7 linked regions of the Macaca fascicularis genome follow. The protein of the gene in region 1 interacts with the protein of each later gene in a pairwise test. Links are inferred from orthologs where the notes say so. Each region holds a gene or a part of one and is shown in the gene's direction. Other genes may lie near its edges.

The links.
Region 2: the proteins of AP2B1 (region 1) and NEU4 interact in binary tests that used the Homo sapiens proteins (3 or more experiments, as listed by UniProt). The two-hybrid records come from large-scale screens. The link is inferred for Macaca fascicularis from reciprocal best matches to the Homo sapiens genes AP2B1 and NEU4.
Region 3: the proteins of AP2B1 (region 1) and AP1M1 interact in binary tests that used the Homo sapiens proteins (3 or more experiments, as listed by UniProt). The link is inferred for Macaca fascicularis from reciprocal best matches to the Homo sapiens genes AP2B1 and AP1M1.
Region 4: the proteins of AP2B1 (region 1) and NUP54 interact in binary tests that used the Homo sapiens proteins (3 or more experiments, as listed by UniProt). The two-hybrid records come from large-scale screens. The link is inferred for Macaca fascicularis from reciprocal best matches to the Homo sapiens genes AP2B1 and NUP54.
Region 5: the proteins of AP2B1 (region 1) and THAP1 interact in binary tests that used the Homo sapiens proteins (3 or more experiments, as listed by UniProt). The two-hybrid records come from large-scale screens. The link is inferred for Macaca fascicularis from reciprocal best matches to the Homo sapiens genes AP2B1 and THAP1.
Region 6: the proteins of AP2B1 (region 1) and GTF2I interact in binary tests that used the Homo sapiens proteins (3 or more experiments, as listed by UniProt). The link is inferred for Macaca fascicularis from reciprocal best matches to the Homo sapiens genes AP2B1 and GTF2I.
Region 7: the proteins of AP2B1 (region 1) and AP1M2 interact in binary tests that used the Homo sapiens proteins (3 or more experiments, as listed by UniProt). The two-hybrid records come from large-scale screens. The link is inferred for Macaca fascicularis from reciprocal best matches to the Homo sapiens genes AP2B1 and AP1M2.

What each region holds. Positions count from the first base shown.
Region 1 is NC_088390.1:41,888,668-41,893,391, forward strand, and holds the start of AP2B1 (AP-2 complex subunit beta), read left to right. Parts: upstream 1-1,699; 5' UTR 1,700-1,975; exon of another isoform or gene 1,976-2,059; intron 2,060-4,724. UniProt on the Homo sapiens protein: Component of the adaptor protein complex 2 (AP-2). Adaptor protein complexes function in protein transport via transport vesicles in different membrane traffic pathways.
Region 2 is NC_088386.1:137,751,095-137,754,844, forward strand, and holds the end of NEU4 (sialidase-4), read left to right. Parts: intron 1-159; coding exon 160-366; intron 367-543; coding exon 544-799; intron 800-1,597; coding exon 1,598-2,595; 3' UTR 2,596-2,944; downstream 2,945-3,750. UniProt on the Homo sapiens protein: Exo-alpha-sialidase that catalyzes the hydrolytic cleavage of the terminal sialic acid (N-acetylneuraminic acid, Neu5Ac) of a glycan moiety in the catabolism of glycolipids, glycoproteins and oligosacharides.
Region 3 is NC_088393.1:16,523,058-16,527,339, forward strand, and holds part of AP1M1 (AP-1 complex subunit mu-1), read left to right. Parts: intron 1-2,856; coding exon 2,857-3,013; intron 3,014-4,282. UniProt on the Homo sapiens protein: Subunit of clathrin-associated adaptor protein complex 1 that plays a role in protein sorting in the trans-Golgi network (TGN) and endosomes.
Region 4 is NC_088379.1:57,767,480-57,770,911, forward strand, and holds the end of NUP54 (nucleoporin p54), read left to right. Parts: intron 1-1,559; coding exon 1,560-1,688; 3' UTR 1,689-2,385; downstream 2,386-3,432. UniProt on the Homo sapiens protein: Component of the nuclear pore complex, a complex required for the trafficking across the nuclear membrane.
Region 5 is NC_088382.1:46,374,085-46,377,029, reverse strand, and holds the end of THAP1 (THAP domain-containing protein 1), read left to right. Parts: intron 1-306; coding exon 307-678; 3' UTR 679-1,969; downstream 1,970-2,945. UniProt on the Homo sapiens protein: DNA-binding transcription regulator that regulates endothelial cell proliferation and G1/S cell-cycle progression.
Region 6 is NC_088377.1:53,637,909-53,642,190, forward strand, and holds part of GTF2I (general transcription factor II-I), read left to right. Parts: intron 1-599; coding exon 600-783; intron 784-2,576; coding exon 2,577-2,605; intron 2,606-3,901; coding exon 3,902-3,943; intron 3,944-4,282. UniProt on the Homo sapiens protein: Interacts with the basal transcription machinery by coordinating the formation of a multiprotein complex at the C-FOS promoter, and linking specific signal responsive activator complexes.
Region 7 is NC_088393.1:11,138,497-11,143,386, reverse strand, and holds the start of AP1M2 (AP-1 complex subunit mu-2), read left to right. Parts: upstream 1-1,940; 5' UTR 1,941-2,013; coding exon 2,014-2,055; intron 2,056-3,135; exon of another isoform or gene 3,136-3,233; intron 3,234-4,890. UniProt on the Homo sapiens protein: Subunit of clathrin-associated adaptor protein complex 1 that plays a role in protein sorting in the trans-Golgi network (TGN) and endosomes.

The sequences.
Region 1 (4,724 bases):
ATATGCATTTTTCAGAGAAAGGATTGGAAAATAAAACAAATATAAAGAAGATAACATTTGTAATCAGCACCCAGAGAGAACCACTAATAGGTATATATACGCCTCTGGATTTAGAGTTTTGTATCTTTCTTTTATTCTTATCATTTCAAAGCATTTTTCTGTATCATATTTTTCAACAATATGATTTAAAAGGCACATCCCAATCATATAAATAAATACATGTTCATTGTATTTGAAAAGTACAGAAAAATATTAGGAAGAAAAGTAAAACTCTCACTATTCCGCAATAACCACTTTTAACATTGTGCTGAATATCCAAGCTTTTTTTTTTTTTTTTGAGACGAGTCTGGTTTTGTTACCCAGGCTGGAGTGCAGTGGCGAGATCTTGGCTCACTGCAACCTCCACCTCCTGGGATCACGTCATTCTCCTGCTTCAGCCTCCTGAGTAGCCGGGATTATAGGCATGTGCCACCACACCAGCTAATTTTTGTTTTTTCAGTAGAGACGGGGTTTCACCACATTGGCCAGGCTGGTCTCAAACTCTTGACCTCAGGTGATCTGCCCACCTCCGTCTCCTAAAGGGCTGGGATTACAGGTGTGAGCCACCATGACTGGCCTATCCTAGCCTTTTTTTTTTCTATACATATATAGTCATACCATATACTATATTGTTTTGTATCCTATTTTTACTTAACACTTTATGAATTTTCTGTCATAAAATATTCTATAACATTATGCAGCTATCTGATTTACCATAAGTGTTTACATTATCTCTCTTTATACCTGGCTTTCCAATTTCCCCTATTCCTCTATTTTAATAACAGAGGAAATAATAATACATGAGTATGTTATACAAAATTTTAATGTACTTCTGATCACTTTTTTAAGAATGAAGTTTTAAAATACTTAAACACTTTCTGACTCACAGAGTTCATGGGCAAAATGTGAGAAAAATAAATAATCACTTTGCTCTCCATCCTTCCTTACACCCTGAAATTAACCTTAGGGACAGCTAGTTCATTTAACCTCATCAATCTTGTTCTCCAGTTCCAGGTCCTGGAATCTAGGTCTTAGTTTCCGAAAGAAACTTACTTTTGTGTAAGCACACCTATTATATACTAGGCACTTGACCTAATTTATCTGGTTTACGCTTCACATGCCCGAGAGAGATACTATCATTGTCTTCATTTCACAGATAAGAAGATTGAGGAGACATTAACTTTCCCAGTCACATTCAGGGTAGGGATTCAAACTCACATCCAATGCCTCCTCAACCTCTTTTACCTGCACCACTATCCTCTAGCCCCACTGCCCGTATATAGGCCTGGGTTATATCACCATTGTCCGCTCTTGAGCCTGGAAGGAAAATGAGCTGAGGGGTTTTGTTTTTCACAAAGGAACAGGATATTTCATCATCTCTGTGTTTACGTTTTTCAGAGAATTTCTGTGCGAGGTAACAAATCCATTGTCAGCTTTTTAAATATATTCCTTTGGAGTAGCCACTTAACATCCTCTGAGGCCCAGATGGGCCAGCTTTGCTGGGACCATGGGAAATGTTTGGGGCTGGAAGGCGGCAGAGATTACCGCCTTGCTAGGTCTCCCGCGCACCCCGATGACGTCACGCGGCGACGTTCTCTGACGTCAGAGTTTCCTGCCCACCATCTTTGTCCCTGGCAAAGTGGGTTTTGCGCAGTGGCTTAGACCTAGAAAAGAATCGTGACGGGCAGGAAACCATTACACCACCACCCGGGCTGTGCTCTCCGGCTCCCGCCGCCACCCCCGCCCTCGACTTCGCCTCCGCCTCCGGTGAGTTCAGGGAGGCTGCCTTTGGGGTGTGTCCCTAATTGACGGGGTGGGGGACGAAAAGAAGGGGAACCCCAGGCTGGGTCGAGGACCGGCGGAAGCGAGGATATCCTAAGAGCGTGACCGTTGAGGATACAGGGAACCGTCGGGTGTGACCAGTGAGAGGAAAAAGGTTGGAGAAAGGGTCTCCACCATGATGACTGTGGTGCGGTGAGGGAATCCTCGGGTGTGGCAGCAAGTAGTTGGGGGCATGAGGGTAAGATGTACTTCGGAATTGGGGGTTTAGGAGGACCAGAGGCCAGGGGTGTGGCTGATAGAGCCTGGAGGCCGTGGGGGGAACCGTCTTTCTTCCCCGCTCGGCGTCGTTCACTAAGAGTCACTAAGAGTCTGAGACGTGTCCAGCAAAAGCGAAAGGGAAAAACCCGTTTGCTCATTGATGGGCGAACGTCGTCTGTCCAGTAACTTGAGGGTAAGAGACAACCTCTTCCCTGCTCCGTAATGGAGGAGCATATCGCTAGAATCTTGACCACCTGGGGAAAGAAGAGGCATTCCTGACTCTTGGAGGAAGAGTAACCTCCAGAATTGACCCGATGTAAGAGAGGGGGAAGCAAATGGGGGTAAATCTTAACCCACCTTTTTTTTTTTTTCTTCTTCTTTTTCTGGGCTCTGCGGGAATGGTCTGGCTTGGGAAAGGCTGTAGATTAAGCTGAAAGTAAAGAAACTGGAACTTACTGTTATTTCCTTATCATTTGAATCCAAATAATTTGTTAATGCTGCTTATTTTCAAGAGCAGTCTTCTGTTGGAGGGGTGGGGTGGGGGGACAGGCTTTCATTGAACTCACGCGGATGCTTCATTAAACGTTTGACTTTTATTTTATTTTATTTTTATATTTTCAGTGACAGGGTCTTACTGTGTTGCCCAGTCTAGTCTAGAACCCCTGGGCTCAAGCGATCCTCCCTATTCGGCCTCCCAAAGTGCTGTGATTACAGGCGTGAGCCAGAGCGCCCAGCCAAACTTGACTTTTGAAAAGAAAAAATGTTTTGAAAACCGCCAAAGACTTATCGTAACCATTGTGGTTTAAAAGAAAATGCATTAAACTTACAAAGGCAGAATGACTAAGAAAGAAGGTGGTCTCAATGAGAATCAATTTAAATTATTAATTACCTTCCTTGTATACTTGAATTGCTTAGCCTCAGGGTACACTTACAAAGTAATAATAGAAAGTAGCAGATGAAGGAGGTGCAGCTCTATAAGAAAACGTGTAACACATTCCAGTGATGACTAAGCGTGCTGGTAAGGTGAGAACTGTTTGCAGGTATCTTAACCGTTGAAACTTTCAAGGAAGCAGAAAGGGTGATGTATAATGCAAGCATCCTCACTAAAAGCTGGGTGGTAAAATCAATATAAATCTAATATTCTGACTGTGTATGAAGAAACTCAAGTCCAGTTCTTTCATTCTTTCCGTCCTTAAAAGATCCATATTTTGAAGTACTAACTTTTTAGGCACAGGTTTGAACCAAGCTGAGCAAGGAATATATTAAATAGGGCACCTTCTCCTTTCTCTTGTCCTTTCTTTCCTTCCAGGCTTAAGTTTTCCAGAGTTTAATGTTATTTTGGTTAAGAATTAGATGTAGGCCGGGCGCGGTGGCTCACGCCTGTAATCCCAGCACTTTGGGAGGCTTTTGAACTCCTTTGCTTCTATATAATATTAAGAAGCTACTTTGTAGTCTAAGTAGAAATCACAGGTGATTTTAGCTTTTGTGTCGTAATTTCTTATGAGAAAAATAATACCTGATGATGCTATTGTCTTTGCATTATTACTGAATATTTGATTAGAAATGAATTTGGCACCTCTCACCCTTACAATAAAAGATTACTGGAATGACATTTCTGCTTTATAATTTGGTTAACTTTGTTCTGTTTTTTACTGTGAGCACTGAGCTTTGTAAAGTCCAACTTTGTGAAAAGAAGGGTTTAGGGACTTTACGAACTAATTTGGCTTCCCAGAGAGCCATTTGAATTAAGATCCTATTAATTTTTTTTGACCTTATTCTACCCAAGGTATTAATCTTATTTTGCTGCTCAATTTCTCTTTTAGGGAACTGGAGGGAGGTATAGGAGAGGAGGGACTTTGACAACCTATATTTCATAGAAACTAGGTTATGTTAAATCTGGATATGTAATCCTGTGCAGGGAGGCCTACTCCGAAATGCAGTGACATCACACTCTGGTCAGGGCAAGTAAGAGTGATTATGTGCTTTGACTCTGGCAGCTTTGTTGTTTAACAATGGCCTTAGGCCATATCATAAATCCTCAGAACAGCCGTGACTTGTCTGGTTTGATCTGGTAGAAAGGTAGTGTGAGTTCAAATTCCGTCATGGCTTTGCTTATTTCTCTGGCTCTTCTGAAGGAACATTTTCTCCCCCAAAGGAGCAGCTTGATTTTTGAGGCACTTCAGCAAATATTTGAGTTTTTTTGTTTTTTTTTTTCTTGAGCTCTATTTTGTTTACTTTTTCTGTTACTTCTAATGAAGATGTCAGTTTTTGCCATCCTGTATTTTGGAGACTCTGGCTATGTCCATATCTAGCATGTGATTAAATGTGTCTCTCATTATATGAGGTAAGAACTCACTATATGAGAGATACACTTAATCATATATATGTGATTTTTTTTTTGAGGTGAAATTCACGTACCATAAAATGAACCAGCTTAAGGCATACAGTTCAGTGGAATTTAGTACACTGACAGTGTTGTGCAACAATCATGTCTTCTATTTGTTTTTATTTAGACTATTTTCATTTTTCTTGGAGTTTCTTTTGGCTTAAGGCAAGAACCAGCTTGGCACCATGTTTCTCTGCCAATATGGATAGGGAATATTGTTTACAATAGTGTTGCTTACTACAGTGATATCCCTTCTCTT
Region 2 (3,750 bases), on another chromosome or scaffold:
GAGTCAGAAACAGGCCTGACCCCAAGGTGGGTACAGGAAGAGCCCTAGGTGTGGGCAGGAGCTGTCTGCACCTCCTGAGCCCCTTCCCCAATCCAGAGGAGGAGCGAGTGTGGGACTCCCTGGGCCTGCCTTGCTGACCTGTGGCCCTGTACTGACCAGCAGAGCATGGGGGCCCCTCATACCCCTTCACGGACAGTGCTCTTTGAGCGGGAGAGGACCGGCCTGACCTACCGCGTGCCCTCGCTGCTCCCTGTGCCCCCTGGGCCCACCCTGCTGGCCTTTGTGGAGCAGCGGCTCAGCCCCGACGACTCCCATGCCCACCGCCTGGTGCTGAGGAGGGGCACGCGGGCCGGGGGCTCCGTGCGGGTGAGTGGCCGGGCCCACTGGGGCTGCACACCCAGGGACAGGGGCGGGGGTGGCGGTGGCAGGCGGGTGCCCGAGATAGAGATGAGCAAACCAGGCTCAGCTGTCTCGGGTGCCCCACGGGGGGCTGTGCCCAGGTCCCTGGACATCCTAGTCAGTGGCACTTCCTCCTCTGGGCAGTGGGGCGCCCTGCAGGTGCTGGGGACAGCAGCCCTGGCAGAGCACCGGTCCATGAACCCCTGCCCCGTGCACGACACTGGCACAGGCACCGTCTTCCTCTTCTTCATCGCGGTGCTGGGCCACACGCCCGAGGCCGTGCAGATCGCCACGGGAAGGAACGCCGCACGCCTCTGCTACGTGGCCAGCCGTGACGCCGGCCTCTCGTGGGGCAGCGCCCGGGACCTCACCGAGGAGGCCATTGGTGGTGCCGTGCAGGGTAGGCGGGCAGGGTGCCAGTCTGGGTCCCTCGGATTGGCCACGGTCCACATGGAAGGGAGATTCCAGCTGGAAAAGTCCATTCTGCCCCACCACCGCCCCTGCCTCCAGCCATAAGGGAACCAACCAGCCCTCTCCCCAGGACTGTCCTGGGCCTCCCGTCCCAGGCAAATGGGTACTGGTCGCCACCCAGTCCATCCGGTGGGCAGGAGCAGGCCCTCTATGGCTGATCAGACTCTCATCCCCCCAGGTCATCCCTTTATCTGCAGAGGAGAAGGCTGAATGCTGAGGTGTCTCTCAGCTCCCAAACCAACAGCCACCCTGCCCCACCCCTTCCTCTTAATCTTTACTCCCTTCTCACCCCGCCTAGGGCCTGGCCAGGCCTCGCCACAGCTTTCCCTCCACCCCGTCCTCTGTGGCCACCTGACCCTGGCCTGTGGGAGCCACAGCAGGGAGTGGAGCAGATACATGGCGGACCCCAGGACCCCACCGCAGGGCCTCACTCCCCCTGCCCGCCCTCCGCTGTATCTGTATGGGCAGTGCTCGCCAGCCTCCCTGGGTGCTGTCCACCTGGGCGCGGCTGCTAAGGGCTGGGAGAGGCTTGTCAGCCTGGGAGGACTCAGGGCGGCTGCAATGAGTTGTGTGGAAGGGTGGTCAGAGTGTGACGGTCCTAACCCGAGGCACCAGCCCCTCCTTCCCCGACCCCTGTGCCTTCCCCGACCCCTGTGCCTTCCTCCATCCGCCCCCCCCAACCTCGGGGACTCAGCAGCCCCTCCCACCTCCGCCCTCCTCCCCACAGACTGGGCCACGTTCGCCGTGGGTCCCGGCCACGGCGTGCAGCTGCCCTCAGGCCGCCTGCTGGTGCCCGCCTACACCTACCGCGTGGACCGCCGAGAGTGTTTTGGCAAGATCTGCCGGACCAGCCCCCACTCCTTCGCCTTCTACAGCGATGACCACGGCCGCACCTGGCGCTGTGGAGGCCTCGTGCCCAACCTGCGCTCGGGCGAGTGCCAGCTGGCGGCAGTGGATGGTGGACAGGCCGGCAGCTTCCTCTACTGCAATGCCCGGAGCACCCTGGGCAGCCGCGTGCAGGCACTCAGCACTGACGAGGGCACCTCCTTCCTGCCCGCAGAGCGTGTGGCTTCCCTGCCCGAGACCGCCTGGGGCTGCCAGGGCAGCATCGTGGGCTTCCCAGCCCCCGCCCCCAGCAGGCCACGGGATGATGGTTGGTCAGTGGGCCCCGGGAGTCCCCTTCACCCTCCACGCCTTGGTCCTGGAGTCCATGAACCCCCAGAGGAGGCTGCCGGAGACCCCCATGGAGCCCAGGTGCCTGGTGGGCCCTGCAGCCATCTGCAGCCTCAGGGGGATGGCCCCAGGCAGCCTGGCCCCAGGCCTGGGGTCAGTGGGGATGTGGGGTCCTGGACCCTAGCGCTCCCCATGCCCTTTGCTGCCCCACCCCAGAGCCCCACGTGGCTGCTGTACTCCCACCCAGTGGGGCGCAGGGCTCGGCTGCACATGGGTATCCGGCTGAGCCAGGCCCCGCTGGACCCGCACAGCTGGACAGAGCCCTGGGTGATCTACGAGGGCCCCAGCGGCTACTCCGACCTGGCGTCTGTCGGGCCGGCCCCTGAGGGGGGCCTGGTTTTTGCCTGCCTGTACGAGAGTGGGGCCAGGACCTCCTATGATGAGATTTCCTTTTGCACATTCTCCCTACGTGAGGTCCTGGAGAACGTGCCCACCAGCCCCGAGCCGCCCAACCTTGGGGACAAGCCTCGGGGGTGCTGCTGGCCCTCCTGACAGGCCTTCTGGCCGTGCCCATGCCCCTTGGGTGCCCGGGGCAGAGGGGTGGAATATGCTGGGGTGCCCCAGGATGGATGTGGGGGGGCTCTTAGTGCAGAATCCTGTGGATTAGAAGCAAGTTTCTCCTCAGAGTTCTCAAGCAGGGGTTGCTCTTCGAGAAGGGGAACAGCGGCTGGGAGTGAGCAGGGCAGGGTAGGGGCAGGAAGTGGGCCCTGGGCGACCCCCCACAGCTCCCTCCCGAGGCTGCAGGGTCAGGCACAGGACTGCAGGTAGCCCAGGGTGTTGTGGGTGGCAGCACTTGCTTGCTGGCTGCTTTCTGGCTCGAAATAAAGGAATCGTGCTTGTGTCGGGGTAGACGTTTCTTTCCTTTTCAGGTTCCAGCCCTGGGGAAGGGAGCTCTGCTCTAACCCGCTTCTCTGACCCCCATCCCAAAATCTCATTGCCTTGGCAAAGCTCTGCTTCTAAACATCCTGGGGCCAGCAGAGGGAGGGCAGGAGGGAGGAAGCGCCTTCCACCCTTGGCCTCCTGTGCGGTGATTTGCAAGTGGTCTGCCGCACTCTCTGAACTTCCTACCAGAGGAGTAGGAGGTAGGGCCTCTCCCCGCAGAGCTGGACACCAGGAGGGGGTCACCTTCCAGGACCAGCCGTGTGTCCCGCTCCCCTGACCCCACCCTGCAGAGGGCTTGGGCTCCACTGGGGCTGTTTCCCCAGGGAAGTTCCTTTTTATTTATTCTCCTTTTAAAGTCTTAATTTCTGATGACAAAAGCAATATGTGCTTACTGTAGAAAATCTGGAAAATGAGCCGGGCACAGTGGCTCACGCCTATAATCCCAGCACTTTGGGAGGTCGAGGCAGGTGGATCACCTGAGGTCAGGAATTCGAGACCAGCTTGGCCAACGTGGTGAAATCTCGTCTCTACTAAAAATACAAAAATTAGCTGGGCATCGTGGTGGGCACCTGTAATCTCAGCTACTTGGGAGGCTGAGGCAGGAGAATCACTTTAACCTAGGAGGCGGAGGTTGCAGTGAGCCAAGATTGTGCCACTGCACTCCAGCCTGGGCGACAGAGTGAGACTCAAAAAAAAAAAAAAAAGAAAGAAAGAAAGAAAAAAAGAAAATCTGGAAAATGTAGAAAGCTATAAAGAAAATATAAA
Region 3 (4,282 bases), on another chromosome or scaffold:
CCTCGTGAGCCGACTGCATTTCATCAAAAATAAAGCACACTGAGAAATTCGTGGCCACGTGTCTGGTCACCGAGGACACTGGCGTGGCCACACTGGGCTGGAAGGAAGCTCTCCTAGTAGGAAGCTTCTCCGCTTTATCTAGCTGGCTTCTTACACCACTAACCACCACTAACCACCTCCTCTTCAGCGCTCCCTTCCGCTTCCGGGAGGCTGCGCTCGGGGGTTTCCTCCTGTTTCTCGCACCGCCTGCTCTCCTCCCTTTCTGCCCTCCTCAGGGCTGTGGAGTGGCTCAGGCCTACGTGTGCCTCCCCATGCTGTCACTCTTCCCAGGTGGGCTTTGACTCATGTCCATGGGCCGGTGACTCTCGACTTTGTCCACAGCACTTCTCTGGAGATCCACTGGCCTCTGGGACACTAGGGAGGTCCCGCCATCACCACAAATTCAGCATTTCTCTGAATGCATTCCCTGTACCTGCTCTCTCTCCATCTCAGTGATGCCATCACCCATTCAGCCACCTGCACTGGAGACCTGGACATTATCCTCGCTTCCTTTTTCTCCTCACCCCCATATTCACTCCACAAATGTTTACTGAGCACCTACTATGGGCCAGGCCCCGTTCTGGGTGCTGGAACACAGCTGTGAATGAGACAGGAGTCATCGCTGTTCTCAGGGGATGTCAGACAATAGACGAGGATACAGATAAATGTATAACGCAGCAGGTGATAGGGATAAAGCAGGGGTCAGGGTGCAGAGGGATGGGACATGATCTCAGCCAGAGCAAGCAGGAAGGACTTCTTTTTTTTTTTTTTTTTTTTTTTTGAGACAGAGTTATGTTCTATCATGCAGGCTGGAGTGCAATGGCACAACCTCGGCTCACTGCACCCTCTGCCTCCTGGGTTCAAGTGATTCTCCTGCCTTAGCCTCCTAAGTAGCTGGGGTTACAGTCATGCACCGCCATGCCTGGCTAATTTTGTATTTTTAATAGAGATGGAGTTTCACCATATTGGTCAGGCTGGTCTCAAACTCCTGACCTCATGATCCGCCCGCCTCGGCCTCCCAAAGTGCTGGGATTACAGGCGTGAGCCACTGCGCCCAGCTGGGAGGACCCTTAGAGGAGGTATCATTTGAGCTGAGCCTTGGGAAGTGAGAAGAGCCAGATCAGGGCAAAGGCCCAAGGTGGGAACAGATGTGGATCACTCAGAGACCAGCTAAGGGGCCCGGCTGGAGGGGAATGGACCAGGGCAGCGCAGGCAGAGAGGCGTCAGAGACTGTGAGGAGCCAGACCACGCCGGTCCTTGGGAGCCACGGGGACGGACTTGGGCTTTGTTCTCAGTGCCGGGGAGGCTGGGGTAGGTGGCAGTTCAACAGTGGGAGAGAGACCCCATCTGGCCTCTGTGTGGGAAGAGCCCTGCCACCCTTTGTGAGGAAGGACCTGGGGGGGTCAAGAGTGACAGCAGGGGAAGGGGCTGGTCCCTCAACACGTCATCACCTGCCTCCCTCCAATCAGTCCCACAGGCCACGAATGAGACACTAGGAAAGGAAGGTGCCACCCTCCACCACCCCCAGTCTCTCCTTAAGAGAATAAAGTCAGCGTGTAATGAAATGCCAAGTTCTGAGGCAGTTGGTTCCCAGGATGGTCAGCACCGCAATGGCCTTCTCAGCGCGTTGCCGAGTCCTGCAGCTGGCTGTCCTGCAGGCCCCAAGAGCTGCAGCTGCTCCAAGCAGCATCTCCAACCGCAGCCGTGCCCAGGCTAGCAAAACTTCCGACCTCCTTTTTTTCTTTAATGAGATGTAATTTGCACTAATAGCCTGCACTTATCTAAAGTGTGCAATTTGATGAGCTCAGTCATGTGGGAAGCCATAACCACACATTCCATCGCCCCCGAAAGCTTCCTCACGCCCTTTTGCTGTCCAGCCCCATCCCTACGCAGCCACCGATGTGTTTTTCATCACCATTTTCTGGGCTTTTATACACGTGCGGTCATACAGGATGAGCGCTCGTCTGTCTGGTTTCTCTCAGCCAGCACAGTGATTCTGATGCGCCCGCGTATCGGGAGTCCGAGCCCTTTCGTTGCCGAGGCGTGCTTCTCATGGTGTGCACGGACAGTTTGTTTCTAGTTCACCTGCTGAAGGACATTGGCATTGTTTCTAGTCTGGGTCTGTTTCAGTTAAAGCTGCTGTTAACATTCTTGTGCTAGTCTTTGTGCAGACATGTGGTTTCATTTCTCTTGGGTAAATACCAGAGAGAGGAATGACTGGATCGGATAGTAACACTGGGTTTCACTTTTTGAGAAACTACCAGACTGCACCAAAGTAGCTGTCCCATTTTCCTTTCCTCTCAGCAGTGGACAGGGTTTCTGGGTGCTGTATATCCCGACCCACAGGCTATGAAAGAGAGAGACCAGCAAGAGGGCTTCTCCTCTTCAGGCCACCGGTGGACTTCAGTCAATACGAATCTTCAGCGGGAGTGGGCGCCCTGACACAGGCGGGAGAGCAGGGTGCGTTGGCCCGGCAAAGGCTCTGAGAAGGTCTGCGTTGAGAGCTTGTGAGGCATTACTTAACCTGATGTCTCTGAATGATTCGGTCCTGGACCTTTGCCGCAGAGTTCCCCTCTACCCTCACCCTGCAAAGAACTGCAGTGGCCCCTGTGGACGTTCACACTGGGAGATGCTCTTCTCCAGGAATTCCCTGGGGGATGGAGATCAGCACGGCCTCGAGTCCTGCTCTTTTGCGGATAGGGGCCATGACCGGAGTCCCCAGAGGGAAGCAGGCTGGTGCATCTCACCCCCTGCCCCAAGCCCCTGGATTGTAGAATTGAAAATGCAAGCATCATTCCTCTTCCTTCCCCACCCCAGGTGCTCATCTGCCGGAACTACCGTGGCGACGTGGACATGTCGGAGGTGGAGCACTTCATGCCCATCCTGATGGAGAAGGAGGAGGAGGGGATGCTGTCGCCCATCCTGGCCCACGGAGGGGTCCGTTTCATGTGGATCAAACACAACAACCTGTATCGTATCCCTTTACTGGGGCGGCTCCCAGGAGACTCCTGTGTGGGTGTTGGTGTGTGTGCACGTCCACACGCCTTCAGCCGGGACTGGTTTGTGCACAGCGGGAGCATTGGATACAGCCAAGCCCTCCCGGAGCTCCCTGCTGCCTGCAGAGACAGGCAGAGAATGCACGATGACACGCGTGATGGGTGCGGGGAGAGGAGCAGGTGTGACTTGAACTTCTTTGGCCCAGGGGCCCAGGAAGGGAAGTGACACCCTGGAGGAAGCCTGCAGGGAGGCCTGGCGTCTGCCAGCTGGAGGGGCAGGCAGGCACTAGGCGTGGGTGAAGGCTCTGCAAGGGAAAGGCTCATTCCAGCAGCTGCAATCGGGGTGGCTGGAGCCCTCGAGAGGGGGCGTGTGGCAGCAGTGAGGCCGGAGTGGTCAGCGGGGTCTGGGGTCTCAAAGAACATCATCTGAAATGTGACAGAAAGTCTTTGGAGGCTTTTAGATGTGCATCTTCTGGAGGTTTCTGGCTGCTGAGTGGGGCAAGACTGTGGGGACAGGAGAGGACATGGGTAGGTGAGGAGTAGGCTGGGGCCATCGTGCAGGTGGGAGGGGAAGTGGCCTGGACCACGGAGGGGTGGTAGGGTACAGAGAAGGGGAGAGACTTCTCACAGCCCCACCCAGATCTCAGAGTCCCCCACCCTTCCTGTCCTTGGGCCCATGGGGAGACTTGGCCAAGCCAGTTTCTATCCAGGAGGTCTAACTGGCCACCCCACGGCTTTGGGCAGACCTGCAGGCCCATCTCAGTACCCACACTACTGCGGAAGGGCCTGCTTTGCAGCCACAGCCTGGTTTGAGCCCCAGCTCCAGCAGCCATGGGGCTGGAGGCGAATCCCTCACCTTCCCACAGTTTGGTGGGAACAACGACCCCTCGCTGCAGGACCATTCGGGTCAGTTGAGCTGACTTGTGCACATTGCTCCCAGCAGACATGGGCTCTCTGCCCTTTCCTGTGTTCTTGGAGACACTTGGGGCCTTGCCAGTAGTACAGTGTGGCCAATGGGCCAGAACATCCCCTGGGAGCCCTTTGGAAATGCAGAATCCCGGGCTCCACCCAGCCCTGCCCTGTCAGAATCTGCATTGTAGGAAGATCTGTTCTTGGTGACTCGTGTGCACATTCCCATGTGGGCTGTGCTGGTCCACGGCTCCCTGTGGTGCGCCTCTGTGTGTATTTCACCTGGTTCTGGAAGGCCCTGAGAATAGCTCTGAAGATGATCTTAGGTGGCTTTTAAC
Region 4 (3,432 bases), on another chromosome or scaffold:
AGAATTTCAACTTGAGATGATGAAAAGTTCTGAACAAAATGGATAGTGTTGATTATTGCACAACAGCATAAGTATACTTAATGCCACTGAACTGTATACTTAAAAATAGTTACAGGCAAAATTTTATGGTGAGCCTGTTTTGCCACAATTTTAAAAAGGTGAAGTATCCCTCTCCTCACCAAAAAGATGAATTTAAAAGGTAATAGAGACACTACAGTTTACTAGACCTTGCTCCTTAAAGTGTAGGCAGTAACCGCACCTGGAAGGTCATTAAAAATGCAAAATTTCAGTCCTTACTCCAGATGTATTCAATCTGCATTTTATCAAGATCATAGAATGATTTGTATGCACTTTAAAGTTTGAGAAGCAACTGCTTTAGATAATACCTTCCCTGCCTATATGTCACACGTAAGTTATAAACATGTTGTTATTGATCTATCCCCTAAGCCCTCAGGAGATCTGGATGGAGGTAGGTTGAGGTGGCCAGAACCTCCAGCCACTCTTCTCGGGTTTTCACCTTGTGTGAAAAAGTTGGGAAACACTGCTTTGGCTTATTTTCATTAGTATAAATGCAGATTGGTTTAATGAAAATGAACAGTTGTATCTAAAGAAAATATATGAAGATGATGAACTTTGTGGAGCATACTAGGTAGCTAATGACTGTTGGCATGGCCCTGAGGATTTTAGATTAAGGTTATAAATGTCATCAACAAATCCAATTTTATTATATGCTTTAGAATGGATATGGCTGGTTTTATGTAACCAAAAACTAGTTTGGCTTCTAGATTCTTGGACATTACACAACCAATTATATTCCATTGTTTTAAGTATTTGCAATAAATTAACAGATTCCAGTATATTGTAATAGTTGTAGGTTGATATATGCAATAAAACTGAATAATTTAAACACTTGTCTTTTTTAAAATGATGAGCAGTGTATTGTTCAGGGATTGAATCATGGTTCACCATCTACTTTATGACCTTGGGTAGGTTATTTACCTGTAGTTTCTTTAACTGTGGATATGATAATGGTACCCCAAAGGGTGCTCAAAAGGATTTTAAATGAGTTGAACAAGTGAATACCAGTACTCACTATTAAAACAGCACCTTAACCCATAAGGAGGAGTCTTTAAAAAATGTTAGCATCTGTAGTCATCATCACCATTATCGCTATATACTTTGTACTTCAAAACATGAATATTCTCAGTTTTCAGAATGTTATTTTGTTAGTCATCTATATTTGAATACCTCCTTTGAGTTCTGTTTTATTATGCCTTTATTAAAAGTTGGTAAAAGGAAATAGCTATCTAAAAAACATTTTTGTTGGAAGATACTGTTCATTTTATATTTGTTTGATTTTATTGTTCTTTAGAGTTTGTCTTTCACTGTTAGCAAAAGATGTAGTACAAATGTTTAAATATGCATGCCCTCTATATTTAAAGCACTTACTAGGTACTGTGTTATTAGTAAAACAGTCAAAGTGGAGTCCTTTTTCCTGTGACTAGCTTGCAGTTTTAATAAATTAATACATTAATATGTTGTTTCTTAATTTGTTCTAGCATTTGAAACAACAACAGGAAGGCCTTAGCCATTTGATTAGCATCATTAAAGATGATCTAGAAGATATAAAGCTGGTCGAACATGGATTGAATGAAACCATCCACATCAGAGGTGGTGTCTTTAGTTGACAGTTCACAAACTTGTGTAAAGGTTTGTGAAATTCATCTTCTTACTGCATCAGCCCTTCCTTAAGAATGAAACCGACCACGTGGAGGGAAAAAGAAAACAATTCTCTCTTGGCTTGGTTTTTTGAGAAGTTTACTGACAAATTACTGTCCATCAAATCTGAAATACAGTCACCTCACAGCTCTTCAAAGAAAACCTTTGAAAGATTTATATCTAAAAGCTGTATTTACTTTAAAAGGAGAAGTGCATAATTACCAAAATTATATGTACTATTGTACATTTTTACAACAGCATTTTCTTGAACATCATCTGTTTAATGATTATTGTCCACTGAGCCTGTGCTCTGCTTTCCATACCAATATGAAATAATCTTTGCACATAACAGAAGAAACTATAATTACTTGGCTGTTGGAGATTTGTACTTCAGAGTATAAATGTACACCAGTTTTTCTATTTGTGAACTCATCTGTGGGAGGAGTAAAGAAAATCCAAAAGCATTTAATGTTTTTTTTTTTGTTCTATAAAGATTTGAAAATGTATTTTTATATTATTTTACTTATTTGGAATTTACAGAGCACACCTAAGCAATTAGGATATAACAAAATTAACCATTTTTGCAACCATTTTGTTTTTTAAGCCTTTTTATTTCTAAAAAGATGAAAACTTATAAATAAATTCTTAATTTGTAATTTTATAAAATTTTGTCTGGTGCTTTATTTGGCTTTTGAGGAATGACCATTTTTTGTCCACATAGGTACTAAATTAATAATCACAATTCAGGAATTTTAGTCTTAAGTCTGATTTTTCCCTCCTAGGGATTTTTGTCAGTGCTGATATAATCAGCACAATTTGATTAGGGTATGGCAAATAAAACTTACTTCAGATATCATCTAGTATTAAGAATTCCCTAATACGTCATTAATATTTGAAATACTAGAAAATCTGAGTTAAACAGATTAAATAGTGTTAAATAGTGGGTCTTTAACCAGTGGGTCATTTTAAACAGTATTTCTGACTACACACTGTATGTTTGGGCTGCATCATCTTTGCCGCTCTTGAGATGCTTTAACTTTGCACTTCTCTGTGATGCTTTGGTTTATATTGACAGGTGTTACAAGTAACAGCCCCATGAATCTTGGTATTGTATTTACTATGGGGATGGTGAACAGTGTGATGCACTGTATATCTGGAGTCCATCCTCTGAGAACCCACTGAAGAGATTTATGCTCAGTTGTATAGGTTACAGTTGTGTAGACTAGGATATTTTGTGGTTTTTGTTTGTTTGTTTGTTTTTTTGACAAGTCTCTCTGTCACCCAGGCTGGCGTACAGTGGCATAATCATGACTCACTGCAGCCTTGACCTCCTGGGCTTAAGCAGTTCTCCCACCTCAGACTCGAGTAACTGGGACTACAGGCATGCACCACCACAATGGGCTAATATTTTTTATTTTGTGTAGAGATGGGGTCTTGCTATGTTGCCCAGGCTGGTCTTGAACTCCTAGACTCCAGCAATCCTCCTGCCTTGGCTTGCCAGAGTGCTAGGATTACAGGCCTGAACCTCTATGCCTGGCCAAGACTAGGAACTTTAAAACTGATTGTTTCTTTCCAAATTGACTGCCAGAAGTATGCAGCTGCTTTTGCCAAGTTTATGGCATGTAAATTTGTTACACTACTACCCTCTCATCATTCTTTCCTATCCATTATACTGCAATACCAACGGTGTTGGGACAGGAATTTCTCTCCTTT
Region 5 (2,945 bases), on another chromosome or scaffold:
TCTTGGCTCACTGCAACCTCCGCCTCCTGGTTTCAAACAATTCTCTTGCCTCAGCCTCCCGAGTAGCTGGGATTATAGGCATACACCACCACACCCGGCTAATTTTTGTATTTTTAGTAGAGACGGGGTTTCGCCATGTTTGGCCAGGCTGGTTTCAAACTCCTGACCTCAGGTGATCCGCCCACCTCTTCCTCCCAAAGTGCTAGGATTACAGGCGTGAGCCACTACCCCTGGTCAGTCCACAAATTGTTTTAAACTGTTATTTTTAGTTACTAAATTCAAACATACTTTGTACTTTTGTTTTAGAAAGAAGATCTGGAGCCACAGGAACAGCTTCCTCCACCACCTTTACCGCCTCCTGTTTCCCAGGTTGATGCTGCTATTGGATTACTAATGCCACCTCTTCAGACCCCTGTTAATCTCTCAGTTTTCTGTGACCACAACTATACTGTGGAGGATACAATGCATCAGCGGAAAAGGATTCATCAGCTAGAACAGCAAGTTGAAAAACTCAGAAAGAAGCTCAAGACCGCACAGCAGCGATGCAGAAGGCAAGAACGGCAGCTTGAAAAATTAAAGGAGGTTGTTCACTTCCAGAAAGAGAAAGACGACGTATCAGAAAGAGGTTATGTGATTCTACCAAATGACTACTTTGAAATAGTTGAAGTACCAGCATAAAAAAATGAAATGCATATTGATTTCTAATGGGGCAATACCACATATCCTTCTCTAGCCTATAAAGGAGTTTCATTTAAAAAAATAACACTTGATTACATATATAAAAACAGTTCAGAATATTTTTTTAAAAAAATTCGATATATACTGTAAAAGTATAAATTTTTTTGTTTGTAATTTCAGGTTTTTTACATTTTAACAAAATATTTTAAAAGTTATAAACTAACGTCAGACCTCTAATGTAAGTTGGTTTCAAGACTGGGGATTTGGGTTTTTTCTTTTTTAGTATTTATAGAAATAATGTAAAAATAAAAAGTAAAGAGAATGAGAACAGTGTGGTAAAAGGGTGACTTCAGTTTAAAACTTAAAATTAGTACTGTTTTATTGAGAGAACTTAGTTATATTTTAAATCAGAAGTATGGGTCAGATCATGGGACATAACTTCTCAGAATATATATATATATGTACATATTCTCATATGTAAAGTCACATGGTTCATTTATGTTTCTGAATCAGTTATCAAAGATAAATTGGCAAGTCAGTACTTAAAAAGAAAAAAAGATTTGATTGTCTTCACAGCAGAAAAGAGTCATTGCGTATCTGATCAATATCAATAACTTTAGATTCTAAGAGTGGATTTTTTTTTTTAATGGGCTCCTATTTTTCCCCCTACTGTCTAGCATTATAAAATTAGAAGTGTATTTTCAGTGGAAGAAACATTCTTCAATAAATAAAGTAAGGCATTGTCATCAATGAAGTAATTAAAACTGGGGCCTGATCTATGATATGCTTTTTTCTTTCATTACCCTCTAGCTGAAGGACATCCAGTTCCCCAGCTGTAGTTATGTATCTGCCTTCAATGTCTCTGACAAATGTGCTGTGTTAGTAGAGTTTGATTTGTATCATATGATAATCTTGCACTTGACTGAGTTGGGGCAAGGCTTCACATAAAAAATGATTTCTTCACTTTTAACACAAGTTAGAAATTATATCCCATTTACTTAAATGAGTGATTTATATTCAGAACAACCTACTATGTAGTGTTTATTTTACTGAATGTGGAGATTTAAACACTGAGGTTTCTGTTCAAACTGTGAGTTCTGTTCTATATTTGTGAGAAATTTTACATATATTGGAAATGAAAATATGTTCTGAGTAAACAAATATTACTATAGGAGTTATTTAGATTTAGAATAACTGTTCCAATGATAATTATTACTTTTATATTTCAAAGTACACTAAGATAGTTGAAGAGTAATAGACCCTTTAAGACAGTATTAAAGGTGTGAAACAATGGTGTTCAAAGTGTCTTTTGTAGAACTGGTTTTCATTGTAGTTCACTGCCATGCTGCCAGTGGATAGCACTGTGATTCATGGATATTTGATGTTTTATGAACCAGTATCTCAAAAATAGAAATAATGATTGGAAGATTACTTGAAGTTGGGCTGGGCACCATGGCTCACGCCTGTAATCCCAGCACTTTGGGAGGCCGAGGCAGATGGATCACAAGGTCAGGAGTTCGAGACCAGCCTGGCCAATATGGTGAAACCCCATCTCTGCTAAAAATACAAAAACTAGCAGGGCATGGTGGCGAGCGCCTATAGTCCCAGCTACTTGGGAGGCTGAGGCAGGAGAGTTGCTTGAACCTGGGAGGTGGATGTTGCAGTGAGCTGAGATGGCACCACTGTACTCCAGCCTGGGCAATACAGCGAGACCCCATCTCAAAAAAAAAAAATTACTTGAAGTTACATAGTCTGATAACATCATTTAGAACTAATGCTGATCAACCAGAAGACTTTTACAGATTATTCATGGAACTCATAACTGTTTTTAGAGGCTACAAAGTATTCAAGTAGTTTGGTTTTATATGTTGTCTTTCTAGCAATTCCTGGAAGTACTCAGGAATATTTAGATTTATTCCTGAATACTTTGAAAAGTATATACCTTTGGCTGGGCACGGTGGCTCATGCCTGTTATCCCAGCAATTTGGGAGGCCGAGGCGGGCAGATCACCTGAGGTCAGGAGCTCGAGACCAGCCTGACCAACATGGAGAAACCCTGTCTCTACTAAAAATACAAAATTAGTGGTGGCGCATGCCTGTAATCCCAGCTACTTGGGAGGCTGAGGCAGGAGAATCATTTGAACCTGGGAGGCGGAGGTTGCCGTGAGTGAGGGCGGCGCCATTGCACTCCAGCCTGGGCAACAAGAGCAAAACTCCGTCTCAAAAAAAGAAAAAAAAGAAAAAAAAGAAAAGTATATACCTTCAATC
Region 6 (4,282 bases), on another chromosome or scaffold:
GGTTAGGTGGTTGTAATCCTCCTATAGATAAGGAATTAAAATTTAAAAGTAAGTGTTTTGTTTATGCTAAATTTATTTAATAAGATACCATTAGTGTTATATGATCAATTGTCAGTACAAAAGTTCATGAATTTAAGGTTCACCGTCTGGCAGTGTGGCTCATGCCTGTAATCCCAGCATTTTGGGAGGCCGAGGCGGGTGGATTCGTCGAGGTCAGGAGTTTGAGACCAACCTGGCCAATATGGTGAAACGCTGTCTCTTCTAAAAAATACAAAAAGTTAGCCAGGTATGGTGGCGCATGGCTATAATCCCAGCTACTCAGGAGGCTGTGGCGTGAGAACTGCTTGAACCTGGGAGGCAGAGATTGCAGTGAGCTGAGATCAAGCCATCGCACTCCAACCTAGGTGACAGAGTGAGACTCTGTCTCAAAAACAAATTTTTTTTAAGGTTCATATTTAAATTTGTTTGACGTGTACAAAGACCTTAGTTAACAGCAGAGACAGTCTTTAAAATAAATGTTGATCTGGTGCTTTTGACAGACTTTTTAAGGCAGTGGGTTCATCTGTGCTGTTGTGCTGTTTGTCTCACTGTCACTGTAGGTGAAGCCATTGGTATGGGTTTTCCTGTGAAAGTTCCCTACAGGAAAATCACAATTAACCCTGGCTGTGTGGTGGTTGACGGCATGCCCCCGGGGGTGTCCTTCAAAGCCCCCAGCTACCTGGAAATCAGCTCCATGAGAAGGATCTTAGATTCTGCCGAGTTTATCAAATTCACGGTCATTAGGTAAGTGAGAGTTTTCTGCTCAGTCACAGGAATGAGTCTGGAGCTCATGAGGTTGACTCATCTAAAACGCAGCCACAGGTAGTCATCGAATCAGGCTTCCTGTGCGATGCAATGAACAAATAAAGATAACTTGTTTCATCGTTAGAATGTTAGATGTGCCTCTGCCTAAGCCGACTCTTTTAATTCTTGGCAAAGGGTTGGCAAACTAGGTCTGTTCACCAAATTCAGCCTGCCTCCTATTTTTAGAGACTTCCTGAAACACAGCTACGCCCGTATTATCCATGGCTGCTTTCCTGTCACAGTGAGTAAATAGCTGGGACTGAGACGGCATGGCCTCCAAAGTCTAAAATATTTACTCTCTAGCACTTTATAGAAAAACCTTGGCCAGGCACAGTGGCTCACACCTGTAATCCCAGCATTTTAGGGAGGCCAAGGCAGGCAGATCACCTGAGGTCAGGAGTTCCAGACCAGCCTGGCCAACATGGTGAAATCCTGTCCGTACACAAATACAGCAGTTAGCTGGGCATGATGGTGCGTGCCTGTAGTCCCAGCTACTCGGGAGGCTGAGGCAGGAGAATCGCTTGAACCCAGGAGGTGGAGGTTGTAGTGAGCCGAGATTATGCCATTGCACTCCAGCCTGGGCGACAGAGTGAGACTCCATCTCAAGAAAGAAAGAAAAACTTTGCCAACCTCTGTCTTAGGGCGCCGTGTCACAGGCTTTGGCTCAGACGGATTCAACCTCGCATCAGCCATTTGTTAGCCTCGTCACTCTGTTCCTTGTCTGTAAATGAGAGTGACCATTGTTACCACGGAGAGTGTCAGTTCCCTCCCGTAGAGCAGGCATGATGATTGTACTCATCCTCTAACACCATTTGAGCGCCACATTCCTTCCTGTGTCCTTGTTACCATAAGAGACGCCCACCTAGGCCGGGCGCGGAGGCTCACACCTGTAACCCCAGCACTTTGGGAGGCCGAGGCGCACGAATCATGAGGTCAGGAGATCGAGACCATCCTGGCTAACACAGTGAAACCCCGTCTCTACTAAAAATACAAAAAATTAGCCGGGCGTGGTGGTGCGTGCCTGTAGTTCCAGCTACTCAGGAGGCTAAGGCAGGAGAATGGCTTGAACCCGGGAGGCGGAACTTGCAGTGAGCCAAGATGGCGCCACTGTACTCCAGCCTGGGCGACAAAGTGAGACTCCGTCTCAAAAAAAAAAAAAAAAAAGAGACGCCCACCTGAGCACCAACCCCAGGTTATCTTCCTCTTTTTCTTCCAGCGCCCCAGAAACTTAGCTACAACTCAACCTACCCAATCAGTTCATCATTAAACTGCCACTGTCTCTAGTTCACATCTCTTAGGACTGGCACTCAGAAATCTCATAATAAATCCTCTTGAGGCTTCTTCTCATTCACTCGTCTTCTTCCAACCTTCTTTCCCTCAAAATCTCATATTTTTGTTCCGCTTCCCCATGGTCATTCTCCATATCATTCCCAGGAGTTAGGCCAAAAGCCCCTTGCGTTCTTCCATGCATTGAACTTAGAATCACTCTGTTTCCTGCTCTGGCGTTTCTGTTTTTTGTTTTTCCTCCATTTACTGAGTAACATTTTCTAACAGTGTTCTTATTATGGATACGTATCTATCTCTTCCATAAGTTTATAAGATCGTGGATAATACTTCTCACTGTAGTACGTAAATGACATGGGCTAGATATGAGTTGAATAGACAGTTATACCTGTAAATCCTTATAGAGTGAAAATAAATTATTATACTTTACAATTTGTTTCTCTCTTTAGACCATTTCCAGGACTTGTGATTAATAACCGTGAGTATTTTGTGAAGCGTTTCTGTTTTTTCCCCGGGTCTGACATATGTGCGTGTGAGTGTGTATATGTGTTTAAAGTATATCACGTTCCTTCACCTATGTCAGCAGCCGTGCCAGATACTTATTTTAGCCCTCAGTAAAAACACCAGGCACTTCCAAGTTGTAAAATTCTTCAAGCTTCTTAACTTTTCCTATCCTCGATGTGCTTAATCATAAAATGGTAATAATAGCACTGATTCTGGGGGAGTCGTTCCAGTAGATGGAAAGCATCTAGAACAAGTGTCAGCAAGCTCCTGCCGAGGTGTGTGCATAAAGTTTTATTGAAACCACCATCGTGTTCATTTGTTTATGGCAGAACTGAGAGGTGGCAACAGCAAGTGTGTGCTTGCAAAACCTAAAATGCTTACTGATTGGCTCTGTAAGAAAAGAGTTTGCAGCCCCCTAACCTAGAACAGCATCTAGCCTATAGTATGTGCTTAGCCTACGGTATGTGCTCAGCGAATACAATCTATATTTATTACTGCTTTTATGACTGTTATAATGACTGTGCTTGGATTTCGTGCCAAAGTCAGTCACTTAATGTGCCTGCTTCTATTACTATTTCAGCACCGCGTCTGGCACACATTGGGCTTTCAAATATTGTCGAGCGGGTGAACAACTGTCCTTTCAATGCCTTAACATTGATGTCATTTTCAGTAGTATTTTAAGCCAAACTTAGTTTTCCAAGTGTGTTTTTGTTCTCTTAACTTTATTATTAAAAATGTATAAAAGTGAGGCCAGGAGCGGTGGCTCATGCCTGTAATCCCAGCAGTTTGGAGGCTGAGGCAGGCGGATCACTTGAGGTTGGGAGTTTGAGACCAGCCCGTCCAACATGGTGAAAACCTGTCTCTACTAAAAATACAAAAATCAGCTGGGTGTGGTGGCAGACACCTGTAATCCCAGCTACTTGGGAGGGTGAGGCAGGAGAGTCGCTTGAATCCTGGAGGCGGAGATTGCAGTGAGCTGAGATCGTGCCATTGCACTCCAGCCTGGACAACAAGAGCAAAACTCTGTCTCAATAAATTATTTATTTACATAAATAATACATACATAAAAAAAATGTTCTCTTTTGTTCCTGTTCTTGTGCGGTAGTGTGGAATAGAGTTTTATGGTAATTACTATGAATTAGTGATTCTGAGGACCGTATCAGAACTCTGAGGTTTGTATCCTTCTCATCTTGAGCAAATGTATGTTAAAATGCTTGTCAAAGGGAACAACACGTCCTTACATTATTAAACCAATCTGCTTCATTTTCAGAGCTGGTTGATCAGAGTGAGTCAGAAGGCCCCGTGATACAAGGTGAGTGAGGCAGGGGAGGGCCCGGAGCTACTCCTGCCACTCAGTCGCCTGCCCTGAGGGGACTCAGTTACACAGCGCACACATGCTTCTCTGTGGTTTTCACTCCTGGGTTTGACAGCTGATCAAAACATAAATTCAAGCTGTGGGTCCTGATTGAGAACAGGGGGCTGCAAACCATTTGCACCCCCTATCCCAGCTCAGGCCTAACATCAGGAACCCCAGGATTAATGGATAGGATGAAATGGCAGAGAAAGAGGGTCGTCATTTTAACCTGACTCTGTGCCGTCCGTTTCTAATGTCTGCCATAAGTGATTGAGCAAAATGTTCTTGAGTAGAAAT
Region 7 (4,890 bases), on another chromosome or scaffold:
ACAGGACGAGACTCCATCTCAAAAAAAAAAAAAAAAAAAAAAAAAAAAAAAGCTAAGTGTGACTAGGAGTGGTGGTTCATGCCTGTAATCCCAGCACTTTGGGATGCCAAGGCAGGTGGATTACCTGAGGTCGTGAGTTCGAGACCAGCCTGACTAACATGGAGAAACCCCATGTCTACCAAAAATACAAAAAAATTAGCTGGGCGTGGTGGCTCATGTCCGTAATCCCAGTTACGTGGGAGGCTGAGGCAGGAGAATTGCTTGAACCCAGGTGGCGGAGGTTTCAGTGAGCTGAGATCGTGTCATTGCACTCCAGCCTGGGCAACAAGAGCAAAACTCCGTCTCAAAAAAAACTAACTAGGTGTGGCGGTTTGTGCCTGTAGTTCTAGTTACTAGGGAGGCTGAGGTAGAAGGATGGCTTGAGCCCAGGAAGTCGAGGCTGCAGTGAGCCATGATTGCATCACTGCACTCCAGTCTAGGGTACAGAGTGAGACCCTGTCTCTACAAAAAACGGTTTTTTGGCTGGGTGCAGTAGCTCACACCTGTAATCCCAGCACTTTGGGAAGCCGCGGCAGGTGGATCACCTGAGGTCAGGAGATCGAGATCATCCTGGCTAACACGGTAAAACCCCGTGTCTACTAAAAATACAAAAAATTAGCCGGGCACAGTGGTGGGTGCCTGTAGTCCCAGCTACTCCGAAGGCTGAGGCAGGAGAATGGTGCGAACCCGGGAGGCGGAGCTTGCAGTGAGCCGAGATCACCCCACTGCACTCCAGCCTGGGCGACAGAGCGAGACCCCGTCTCAAAAAAAAAGAAAAAAAAAATTAGCCGGGTGTGGCGGTGCTTGCCTGTAATCCCAGCTACTAGAGGCAGGAGGATTGCTTGAACCTGGGAGGCAGAGGTTGCAGTGAGCCAAAATCATGCCAGTGCACTCCAGCATGGGCAACAGAGCGAGACTCTATCTCAAAAAAAAAAAAAAAAAAAAAAAAAAAAAAAAAAAAGAAAGGTTTTTTGGAATGAATAAGAGTAATTTGTAAGAATAATAAAAGCAAGTACATTTATTCTGGTCCACAGTTCCTGTTACTGAATGAATGAGTATTTCAAATTCACTCAGTAAAATTCACCAGTAAAATTTATTATATGAATGAGTGAATGAATGAATTGGACAAATTTTGAGCACTCAGTGCTGAGCACTAGGGACATAAACATGAACCAGACAAAGTCCCTGTTGTACTGGGGCTGACGTGTGTGGGTGAGACTGAGGAGAAACAAGATGAATGGATGGATGAATTAATGATAGGATGAATGAATGGATGGATAGATGGGTGGATGAATGGATAGATGAATTAATTAATGAATACAAGAATGGATGAATGGATGGATGGATGGATGGATTGATAAATGTTTAGGTGAATAAATTAATGCAAGAATGGATGAACAGATGGATGGATGGATAGATGAATAAATTGATGAATGTTAGAATGCATGAATGAATGGATGAATAAATGGATAGATGGATGGATAATGGATAGATGAATAAATAAATGAATGCAAAAATGGATGAATAAATGGATGCCGGATGGATGGATCAATGAATTGATGGAAGATGGCTAAATGAGTGGATGCATGGATGGATTAATTAATGGATGGATTAATGAATGCAAGAATGGAAGGATGCATGGTTGGATGGTGAATGGACAGATGAATGAAAGGAAGGATGAATGAATGGATGGAAGGATGGATGACTGGTCTGGGGTCTCCACCCGTCATTACTGCTGGGTGGCTAGGGAAAGTGAAGGGGGGCAGCAGACGCATCTGAAGTCGTAGTACCTCTCCCGGCCCCGCAGCCGTCTTCACGTTGGCCGACAGCGCTGCTCACCTGGCCGCCTCCCCTTTAAGACGCACACACCTGGGCTCTCACCTGGGCGCAGGCGCTTCCGCAGGAAGAAGGAAGCGGCGCCGCTGTCGCCTCCCGGCGCTCCCTGCCCGCCTCCTAGGTCCCTCAGCTGCCACCATGTCCGCCTCGGCTGTCTTCATTCTCGACGTCAAGGGCAAGGTGAGGCTGGGCATGAGGAGTTGGGAGACGGACAGGTGAGGTCTCGCTCCCGGGGATTCAGGGGCGACCCCTCCGCGCAGGCCACGGAGGCCCCAGCAAGGGGCCTGGGAACAACCCCCCGCCCCCGCAATCCCTGGAAATCCCGGGTCAAATCCCACCTCCAGCATTCACTCGCTTTGTGCCTGAGGCCAAGGCGATCGCCTCCCAGGGCCTCAGTTTCTCTGTATGTAAAAATGGGAGCAACAGAGGTCCCCACCCAATGAGAATTAATACAACTCGCTGCGTGTAAACTACTTAGCACAGTGGCCTTTCTGGAAATATTAGGGACTCAGCAAATTGAAATTATCTCCATCACCGTCGGCATCCACAGTGTTAATACCTGGGGAAGGCAGCTGGAACAGGGGCCTCTAACTCCCCCGATCTGTGGCTGCCTTGCCTCTTCCTGAAGTCCTTTTATTCCTCTTGTCTTTTTTAAATTTGGAGACAGGGTCTCTTGCTGTCTCCCACGCTTGAGTGTAGTGGTGCAATCATAGCTCACTGCATCCTGAAATTTCTGGGCTCAAGCGATCCTCTTGCCTTGGTCTCTGGAGTAGCTGTGACTACACAGGTGCAGGCCACCATGCCTGGCTAATTCTTGACATTTTTTTGCAGAGGGATCCCGCTATGTTGCCAAAGCTGGTCTCAAACTCCTGAGTAGCTGGGGCTGCTGGCTGACCCCTCCATGCCCGGCTTTTTTTTGAGGTGGAGTTTCACTCTTGTTACTCAGGCGGGAGTGCAGTGGTGCTATCCTGGCTCACTGCGACCTCTGCCTCCTGGGTTCAAGCGATTCTACTGCCTTAGCCTCCTGAGTAGCTGGGATTACAGGTGCCCACCACCACACCAGGCTAATTTTTTTGTATTTTTAGTAGAGACGGGGTTTCACCATCTTGGGCAGGCTGGTCTCAAACTCCTGACCTCAGGTGGTCTGCCCGCCTTGGCCCCCCAAAGTGCTGAGATTACAGGCATGAGCCACCGCGCCCAGCCATGCCTGGCTATTTTTAATTTTTTTTTTTTTTAATGGAGTCTTGCTCTGTCACTCAGGCTGGAGTGCAGTGGCTCCATCTTGGCTCACCGCAACCTCCACCTCCCAGATTCAAGCAACTCTCCTGCCTCAGCTTCCCGAGTAGCCGGGACTACAGGTATGTGCCACTGTGCCTGGCTAATTTTTGTATTTTTATTTTTTATTTTTTTGAGATGGAGTCTCACCTTGTCGCCCAAGCTGGAGTGCAACAGCATGATCTTGGCTCACTGCAACCTCCACCTCTCGAGTTCAAGTGATTCTCCTGCCTCAGCCTCCTGAGTAGCTGGGATTACAGGCGCGTGCCATCATGCCCAGCTAATTTTTTGTATATTTAGTAGAGATGGGGTTTCACCATGTTGGCCAGGATGGTCTCAATCTCTTGACCTCGTGATCCACCCACCTCGGCCTCCCAAAGTGCTGGGATTACAGACATGAGCCACTGCGCCCAGCCACATCTGGCCTATTTTTATTTTTTTGTAGAGATGGTGTCTCGCTATGTTGCCCAGGATGGTCTTGAACTCCTGGGCCCCAGCTATCCCCTGCTTCAGTCTCCCAAAGTGCTGGGATGACAGGTGTAAGCCACAGCAGCCAGCCTGTCCTGTCATTTAATAGCCAAAATAAGAGTGGCGATGAAAATAATATTCCCGTTAATATTAATAGTGAGAACTAAGATGTTTGAGAACCTGCCATGGGTCCTCCCTGTTCAGATGCTGGACGAAACAACCTTAGGAAGTAGTAACTCTTTTTTTTTTTTTTTTTTTTTTTGAGACGGAGTCTCGCTCTGTCACCAGGCTGGTGTGATTTCAGCTCACTGCAACCTTCACCTCCTGGGTTCAAGTGATTCTCGTGCCTGAGCCTCCCGAGTAGCTGGGATTACAGGCATGTGCCACAACACCCAGCTAATCTTTATATTTTTAGTAGGGACGGTGTTTCACCATGTTAGCCAGGATGGTCTTGATCTCTTGACCTCATGATCTGCCCGCCTCAGCCTCCTAAAGTGCTGGGATTAAAGGTGTGAGCCACCACGCCCAGCCAGAAGTGTTCACTATTATGGATGGCTTCCTACCAGGCACAATCATATGAACAATCATTTTTCTTTTTCCTTTTTTTATCCTTCTTCCTTTCCTTCCTTTCCTTTCTTTTTCTTTTCTTTCCTTCTTTTCTTTCTTTCTTTCTCTCCCCTTCCTTCCTACCTTCCTTCCTACCTTCCTTCCTACCTTCCTTCCCTCCCTCCCTCCCTCCCTCCCTCCCTCCCTCCCTCCTTCCTCCTTCCTTCCTTCCTTCCTTCCTTCCTTCCTTCCTTCCTTCCTTCCTTCCTTCCTTCCTTCCTTCTTTTCTTCAGGGTCTCACTCTGTTGCCCAGGCTGGAGTGCAGTAGTATAATCACAGCTCACTGCAGCCTCAACCTCCTAGGTTCAATCGATCCTCCTGCCTCAGACTCCAGAGTAGCTGTGACTACACAGGTGCAGGCCACCATGCTCAGCTAATTCTTGAAATTTTTTGTAGAGGAATCCCGCTATGTTGCCAAAACCAGTCTCAAACTCCTGGCCTCAAGCGATTCTCCTGCCTCGGTCTCCCGAAGCAGTGGGATTACATGAGTGAGTCATTGCACCTGGACTTTTCTTTCTTTGTCTTTTTCTTTTTTTAAATAATCCCACTTTGGTGCAAATGAAGTCTGGGGCAGCAGCAGGGATTCTGGACCCAGGATGACTTAGATCAATCGCCAGTTTCCATATGCTTCCAATGGACATGGTTTCTAACCTCACTTCTCCTATG